Linked DNA regions of Daphnia pulex. The protein of the gene in region 1 purifies or fractionates together with the protein of each later gene. This does not show direct contact. Links are inferred from orthologs where the notes say so. Each region holds a gene or a part of one and is shown on either strand. Other genes may lie near its edges.

Region 1 (3,391 bases):
TAAAAAAAACTTTTTCAGAGAACTTTTCTCATGACATAATATACGGGACATTTGGGTGGATTACTTGAAGGGATTCTGTTTTACTCCTTACACTTAACTAACGGCGACCTCTTTGGTTCGAAAAGGAAACTGAAGAAATAAAGGAATTTGAAGAGATAATGCATCAAACACGACCAAAATATCTAGAAAATGAAATTTAGAATGGAAGAAATTAGTCAAATTTTGTAAAACCTAAAACTAACACTTTATTATTTAATTCAATTATTTCTAATTTTGATTAGAAATGGAGGATTTTTTTACAATGGATTTAATAGTTAAGCATATCATCACAAAATTTTTTTTTCAGAATTCATCTCTTGCATAGCACTGACAGGCCTTATTCTGTGCTTCTCGATAAGCCTGGCATCCTAAAGCTAATGTTCCTGTGTACATTAACTTTGCAGTCCCTTTGCAGGCTGAACAGAAAAAGGACATTTACTAACATTTTTAGAAAAAAAAAAAAAATTACATTATTACCTTTCATGAACAGCAATGATAATTCTTCTTCATGATTTGAACATACTTTGTAGAGGCACTTTTTAAAATGCAAGTCACACAAATCTTTATCGGCTCCACAGTCATCATAGCAATAATCGTGGGTGTGACAGCATTCTTCTAACTCTTTTAAAGGCAGTTTCTCTTCTTTCCACTGATGATATTATTAGCACAAGAGATTAAATAGAACCAGCACACACAAGGATTTCTTCATTTACCGTATATCCAAATGATCCACATCCATTACTTTCCGGTATGTGCAAAGGATTTGCTTTTCTGATAAATCCTTCAACAAGAAACAGCATCAAGAAGATATTTTAATCCAAGCAAATTTGTTTTTTTATGTAAATTAACCTTTTGGACACGTGTATGGCTCACAATCTTCATCGATAGTTGCGTCAACAAACTGTTCTACTACTTGAATCGTTTTGGCCAACTTAGCAAGCCCATCAAGCCCAGTATGCAAAAAACTTTTAAGGTTGTGCATTGCATTTTTGATTTCATCAAAATAACTTTTTTGTCCGTCGACAAATAAAGCAGAAATGGTCACGAATACTAAAAGAATTCTGATAACTCTTGCTCTTGGAAATGATGACATTTTGAACTAGAGCGATAAGCGTTGCCAGTACGACTGTAAAAAAATTAAACAAAAAATTTATTTCACCAAAAATATAAGAAATCAAATAATATTTTAAAATTCAATTTAAACGTCAAAATCATTAAGTTATAAAAATTAATAATCAATAAAGAATATATTCATTGTGTTTCCTCATTTCAAACAAGGTTGCCTTTTGAAATGAAGTAACAGAACTACGTACGTCAGATCAGATGGTTGAGCGTTATTCCTTTTGCTTATTTATTTGTAAGTGATATGTTTTGTTTATCTTAGATCCAACTGTGAAATTACTACACTGGATATCTCTGTTTCCTTTTCCAAGGTTTTCTTACCTTGTTTAGTACAAACACTTGTCTAGTGGCTTACTTTGATTGAACTCATTCGATCTAGTCGATCAACACACTCGTATTTACTTTCTCTAGACAAGCTAGTTGTAGTTGTGTGTGCAATTTTTCAAGAAATTACGCGATATCCCTATGGAATTTAACTTCTAGTGACACTTATTCTTATTCCAACATCATGCTAAAGCATTTATCAAATGCATGTGACTTTTTTAAGGCTTAAAGTCGCAAACTGTATCTCAACTAATTATCTGTTTTAAATAGGTAATTAAAGTGGCAGAAGCTTCTACAAAGATGACTATGGGAGAAGAAAGCATGTTGTCTTCTTTAGTGTTGCCTATTTTGGTGGGCCCATCTCTGGTAAACTTGGAGAAACAAGATCCAGGTGCTGCCCAACTGCTGAAAGCTGCCTTTAGTAATGCCGAATCTGCCCATCCAGGCCTCTGCCACAGTTTCATTTTGGGACTGATGAAAAAGGCAGAATTGTCACAAAAAGTCAACATGAATGAGAGTCTTTTAAGAGTTCAAGGAGCAGCCTTGGATCAAGAATCACCTGATTACAGAATTAACCGCTCTGAAGATGCCTTTCAGGTAGCTCCGCTTTAAATATCACAATTTCAAATACTCATGATAGCCCCTTACTGAACAGGAACTGTGTAAGAAGTCAGTTGGTTTGAAGAAGATCCTGAGTAGAATCCCTGATGAGATTGGAGACCGCAAAGCCTTTCTGGAGACTATTAAAGAAATTGCAAGTGCCATAAAGAAACTGCTTGACGCAGTTAATGAAGTGGCCGTCTACATAATATTCGGCTCGGGAAAACAGCGCCTGGAACAGCGAAAACGAGAATTCGTCAAGTATTCTAAACGGTTCAGCACGACGTTGAAAGAATACTTCCGCGATGGACAAGCAAATGCTGTCTTCCTGAGTGCCCTCTGCTTGATACAGCAATCCAATTTCATTATTACAACCGTTAAAGATTGTTGTGAATAAGTTTTGTTAAAAAATCTTTCAAGCTGCGGTGAAGGTCGATGCTCGGAGACGTCGCAATTCGGTAGCGGTTTAAGTGGTGCTTCACACACAGTCGTGAATATTTATATTTCAAAAAATAAAAACACAACTTAATCCGTTCTTTCATCGTTTTACACCGTCCATTTTCAGATCAGGTGTGAGTACCCTTGAGGGGGTTGTCTGCATCTCTTCACCCCATTTTTTTTTCTCTCTCTCGTTATCTTATCATCCACAAAATCCTTATTGCTCGCCACCTCCTAGACCGCTCCTAATGATGAAATCCGTTGCATGTTATCCTAGCCCGACCTAACATTCCAGAGAATAAACATTGTTGAACTTTCTATAAGCAGTAATTATAAGCCTGTTTATATATATGCGGTGGTTTCGTGTTATATATATAGTTAAAAAGTATAGAATACACAGTATATCTTCGCAGTCTAACATAAATGTTGAGATTTTATTTGAATAATACAGACCAATTCAAATGTTCTAATCTTTTCTCTTTTGAGCTTCTGAAGAAACACCTTCGAATTTCAAATGTTTTCATTGGTTAGAGCAATCTGTTAAACAGTTTTACTAGCAAAAGGAAGCATGTGTAGCTTTTGAGAGCAATATCATAAACGAAGGGATAACTGCACGAAGAGTATACAGCCAGAAATAAAATAAAACTTGAAAAGTAAAATGTAATAAGGAAAAAAAAACGAAGAAAGTTTCTTCCAATAACAAAAAGTACGCTGTAAACTGGGAGCGGTTTGGCAAGTCTCAATAATAAGCCATTTAAAACAAAAACAAAAAGTAGAGAAGAAATCTACTCGAACAAGTTCCGGAGGATTACGATAGCAATGATTGTTTAAAGTTGTTTAAGTAAACCAAGAAAATGACGTCATAGCA
Region 2 (4,094 bases), on another chromosome or scaffold:
TCCTTGTGTTATAATGTCTTGCCCTTTCTCTGACTCGGTTTTTTTCTCTTTTCCGCCCAAAAAAAATTAATCCATTAAACCCCCTAGTGAGCGTAACATTGCTGCCAATCATCGCTTCCGACTTGTTCGGATACTTGACGTTTTTTTGTTAATTGATGTGTGTAGGTTCATGCACGTGGGATTGTTATCTTTACCGCAATCAGTTGGCATGTTGTAGTTTAATTTTACAAGGTGAATTGTACTAACTCTTTCTTGGCTCTACTCCAGCTTTTCATTGCGTTTTTTGCTGCTTGCCCATTTTGTTTTTTTCTCTTTCTTTGGCTGACATGGAACATTTGCTGTCTCTTTTTTCTACTCTGCTAAATTGATCGCGTCGAGCTTTACATTAGCTGTTCGCTACGAAAATGGATGATGGCTAAGTTATTCCTTTGTTTGGATTGGTGCAGAGCTTTTGGAAGAAACGCGCGCCAAGTGCCGTGTACTTGAGTCAGAAGTGGAGAGACGGCAGCTAGAGGCACAAGATGGTTGGTCTACAGCCGCACATCTACAGCAATACTTTAGAAACCTGCACAACGTTCTCAAAGGCTCATCTGAGCAGGAAGAGGAATCCGCTGATGAACCATCTGAGCTCGCTGAGCTCGTCCGTTCCAGTATCGTTTCACTCAATAATGAGTACCAAGAACTTCGAGAAGCTAATGCGAAGAATAAGGATCTTATTTCGCTATTGACCTGTAAGCAAGGAGTTTTTTTATCACTTTTTTATGCCAAATACTTCATTTGCAACAACGATATTTCAGTACGACTAAGTAATTACGAAAAGGAAGAGAAAGCCAATCGTGTCAGTGAAACCACCGCTCATAGAGGCTCAACCTCAGAATTGGAATATCTCAGGGACGAAGTTGCTATCCTCACCATCCAGTTGAAAGAGTAACAAGAAAACATTTTCTATCCATAATTAATTTTCTATTTAACCTTTTTTATTTATTTATTTTTAGGATGGAAGTGTCGAGGATAGAGCAAATTGAGGAACGCCAGAAATGGCAACAAGCCTACCAGTCGCTAGCTCTCAGCGTAGAGAATCGGGACAGTGGAGTGGTTAGCGGATTTAGCAGTCCAATCAGTAATCCACCGAGTTCCCGTGATCCTGAAATGAGAGATTCTGGCATCCGGGAACTTAATTCCGGAGAAGATGCTAATTCGGAAGAATATGTTACCATGCAGGTAAAACGAAATTTTATTTGAAAATTTCTTGAGGCACAGTTTTTAATTTATGTTTTTTTGTTTTTGTTATTTTAAGCAATTGTCTGAGGTACGAAACGAACTCGAAGCTTTACGGCGCCACTACGATAATGTACAAACGGAAAAGAAGGAGCTAGAAGAAGAATTCTCCCAGTTAAAGGACAACTACTCGTTACTATCTTCTCAGTCAAAAACGGTAAGTCCAGTCAGTCTCCGTTTCTTCCAAATCTTCTTTCACTGTTTTATGCACAATTTTAATTTGTAAGTTTTCTTCATTATTCTTTGGTTCGTTGATAATTCTATCCATCCATTCTTCTTTTTTCTTTTCTGTTCTCTTTATTTTTCTTTTCTTTTGAATGCCGAATGCATTTTCTAGGTTGGCCGCTGGATGTATGTAGTCCCGTTGGCCGTCCTTGTCTTGGCGGTCCTCATAGCTTTCAGGCCATCGGATTGAAATAACGATAAATTAAAAGACAGAAAAGGGGAAGCACCAATTCTATTTCATCCTTTGTCTTCCTTTAGAAAACTAAATGTGTGTGCCTTCTAAAAGACATATTCTTTTTGTCAGCTGAGAGTCCGTCAACTCTTGTTTTTTCCTCACGTGAAACTGAACGAAGAGGGAATAAGAAAAGGATTTGAACACAAAACAAATAAGAAGCTATTTGAATTCTTCGATAGTCTGCTTGATTTTGGATTCTCCTTTTCTCTCTCGCTTAGGTTCTGTTTTCTCACATTTTTTTTCTTCAGCTGTATTTGTTACCTTCTTATTATTGGCTTTCTTTTCTCTCGTTCGTCGACTTGTGTTTATGTGCCTTCAAAATTTATTTTAGAGATGAATTTATTGTTTTTGTTAGTTCAATATCCGTGGCCAAAAAACAACGCAAACAAAAACAACAAAACATTTTTCGCTCTGTATGTTTGCTTCGATTTACTTTATTCTTTAACTTTCATTTTTTTTTCTCGTCTTAAACTAACACCGCATTGACGTAAGAAATTTATGCTAACGGTGGACATTAGAGAACAAAAAAAAGCTGATCCATCGATTATTTTCCTTTCTCTTTTTCTCTGTTTGTTTGTTTTTTTTTGTTTTTTTTTTTGCTGTGCCTCTTGTTTTTTTTTCGTGTTTGTCTGCGCGTTTTCTGTAGGCGACGGCGTTGTGTCTCATGCCCTTGCTCGTATTGTTCATCTCGTTCTTCCTGGCCTTCTACCGCTTCTTCTCGCGGCTGACGGCTACATTCGAGCCCTGAGAGATTTTGCCGGACAACACGGAAGAAAAATAAGGAGAGAGACAATAACAGCAACAACAAAAACATCATCATCATCATCAATTGTTTTTTTCCTGTTCTTCTACCGATTGTAAGCTTTTTTTTTTTCAATTACTTCTATCTACGCAAATGGCGGGATATGCAGATAATATCCCTTTTTTCGTGTTTTCTTTTGAAACATATTTGCTAGCGACAGCAGCTTTTTAATTTTACCAAGTGCCATCAATATGACAAAAGAGTGATGTCATTAACTAGTGTGTGTTTTCCGTCAACGCTACAGAAAATGGCTTAGTCTCCTTTCTGTGTGTGTATGTAAAACGTACAACGTCGGTGGGGAGGGGGAGAGTCGAATCCTCTTTCCTCCACCTTCTAACAGGACCTGTGCAGAGTTATTTTTTCCTTTGCTATCTCTCTCTCTCTCCATGATTTTCTACTGTCACACAAAACACACACCCCTCCGAAGAATGTTGTTCCTCTTTGTTTTTCAAATGCTTAGTTTTACGGCATAGTTGGCGTGCAATAATAGGCTCCCCTCAATGATTTTTCTTCCTTTTTTTTTTTTTCTTTTGCTGTCCGTCCTACCTCTGTCTATCCACCAGCTCATTATCGTCGACATCTTTCTCTTGTGTGTGAGGGAAAGTTTAATATTTTTCTCACCAGCCAACGACATTATTTTCAGCTTCGCGCGTCTTCGACTTGAAAGAGTAAGAGTGGATCACATAATATTGATTTGATGGGTCATTGATTTACTCGTTCTGCTCCCCAGTTTTGTGTCACGTTTCCTCCTTAAGGTCTTTGGCGGATAACCGTCCGGCGAGATGGATAACCATCGCTGGGAGGCCTCGGATCTTAAGGAGTTTATGAAAAATTTCAACCAACAACAAACATGTTCTATGTTTTGTAGTCTAGTCCTCTTCTACGGATATTGTACACACTCCCCATTTTCTCTCTTTACTATCCCACCTGCCCCTGCCCCGTGTCCTGTTATTTAACTCGCCCCATTAAACATCAGCAACAAAAAAAAAAAGAAAGAAGAGAAAATGAAAAGAAACTAACAAGACAATACAATACTTTGTTTTTTTCTTTCTTGGTCTGGATCTATGACCGAGTATTGATGCTCATCGCGCTGCGGAACCGAAAGATTATCTGAAGACAATCGTATCGGTTCTGTTTTCGTGAAGCGGATCGGAACGACTTTTATGTACATTTTCTTCTCTCATGCAAGTAAGTATAGATGATATGCTGTTTCTTCGTGTTGTAGTTCAAGGTGGCAGCGAAAGCGAGTTGCGGTTATATCCCCGACGTTTTCGTAACTTTCCACTCGACACTGAAGAGTATAGCGCACAGCACGATTCGTATGAAATTCCGTTATTTTATTATTCATCGTTTTTTGTTACGATCCAAGATTTTCTTTGCCTTCCTTTTTGGTCAAACTTGATGTGGAATGATGACCAGCCGAGAGCCAGCTGGACAATCGTGCACGGCTGGAAATGAAATCCCGCCGTGCGCTCGGCTATGCTGTTGCCGTTGGTTCTGTGTGTGTGTGTGTGTGTGGTGCGTCGTTGAGCGTGTTGAGTGTAAGTACTTTTT

The links.
Region 2: the proteins of programmed cell death protein 10-like (region 1) and sarcolemmal membrane-associated protein-like purify together in Homo sapiens (affinity purification with mass spectrometry; 3 studies listed by BioGRID and IntAct, counting the BioPlex papers as one, with this or other methods). This does not show direct contact. The link is inferred for Daphnia pulex from reciprocal best matches to the Homo sapiens genes PDCD10 and SLMAP.

What each region holds. Positions count from the first base shown.
Region 1 is NC_060025.1:9,340,740-9,344,130, reverse strand, and holds programmed cell death protein 10-like, read left to right. Parts: upstream 1-1,329; 5' UTR 1,330-1,669; coding exon 1,670-1,690; coding exon of another isoform or gene 1,691-1,694; intron 1,695-1,755; coding exon 1,756-2,082; intron 2,083-2,140; coding exon 2,141-2,482; 3' UTR 2,483-2,841; downstream 2,842-3,391. Other genes in the region: group XIIA secretory phospholipase A2-like, read right to left, coding at 343-455, 517-688, 753-820, 889-1,132. UniProt on the Homo sapiens protein: Promotes cell proliferation. Modulates apoptotic pathways. Increases mitogen-activated protein kinase activity and STK26 activity. Important for cell migration, and for normal structure and assembly of the Golgi complex.
Region 2 is NC_060020.1:2,412,480-2,416,573, reverse strand, and holds the end of sarcolemmal membrane-associated protein-like, read left to right. Parts: intron 1-165; coding exon of another isoform or gene 166-231; intron 232-446; coding exon 447-927; intron 928-995; coding exon 996-1,221; intron 1,222-1,297; coding exon 1,298-1,435; intron 1,436-1,615; coding exon of another isoform or gene 1,616-1,693; exon of another isoform or gene 1,694-2,384; coding exon 2,385-2,486; 3' UTR 2,487-3,586; downstream 3,587-4,094. UniProt on the Homo sapiens protein: Associates with the striatin-interacting phosphatase and kinase (STRIPAK) core complex, forming the extended (SIKE1:SLMAP)STRIPAK complex.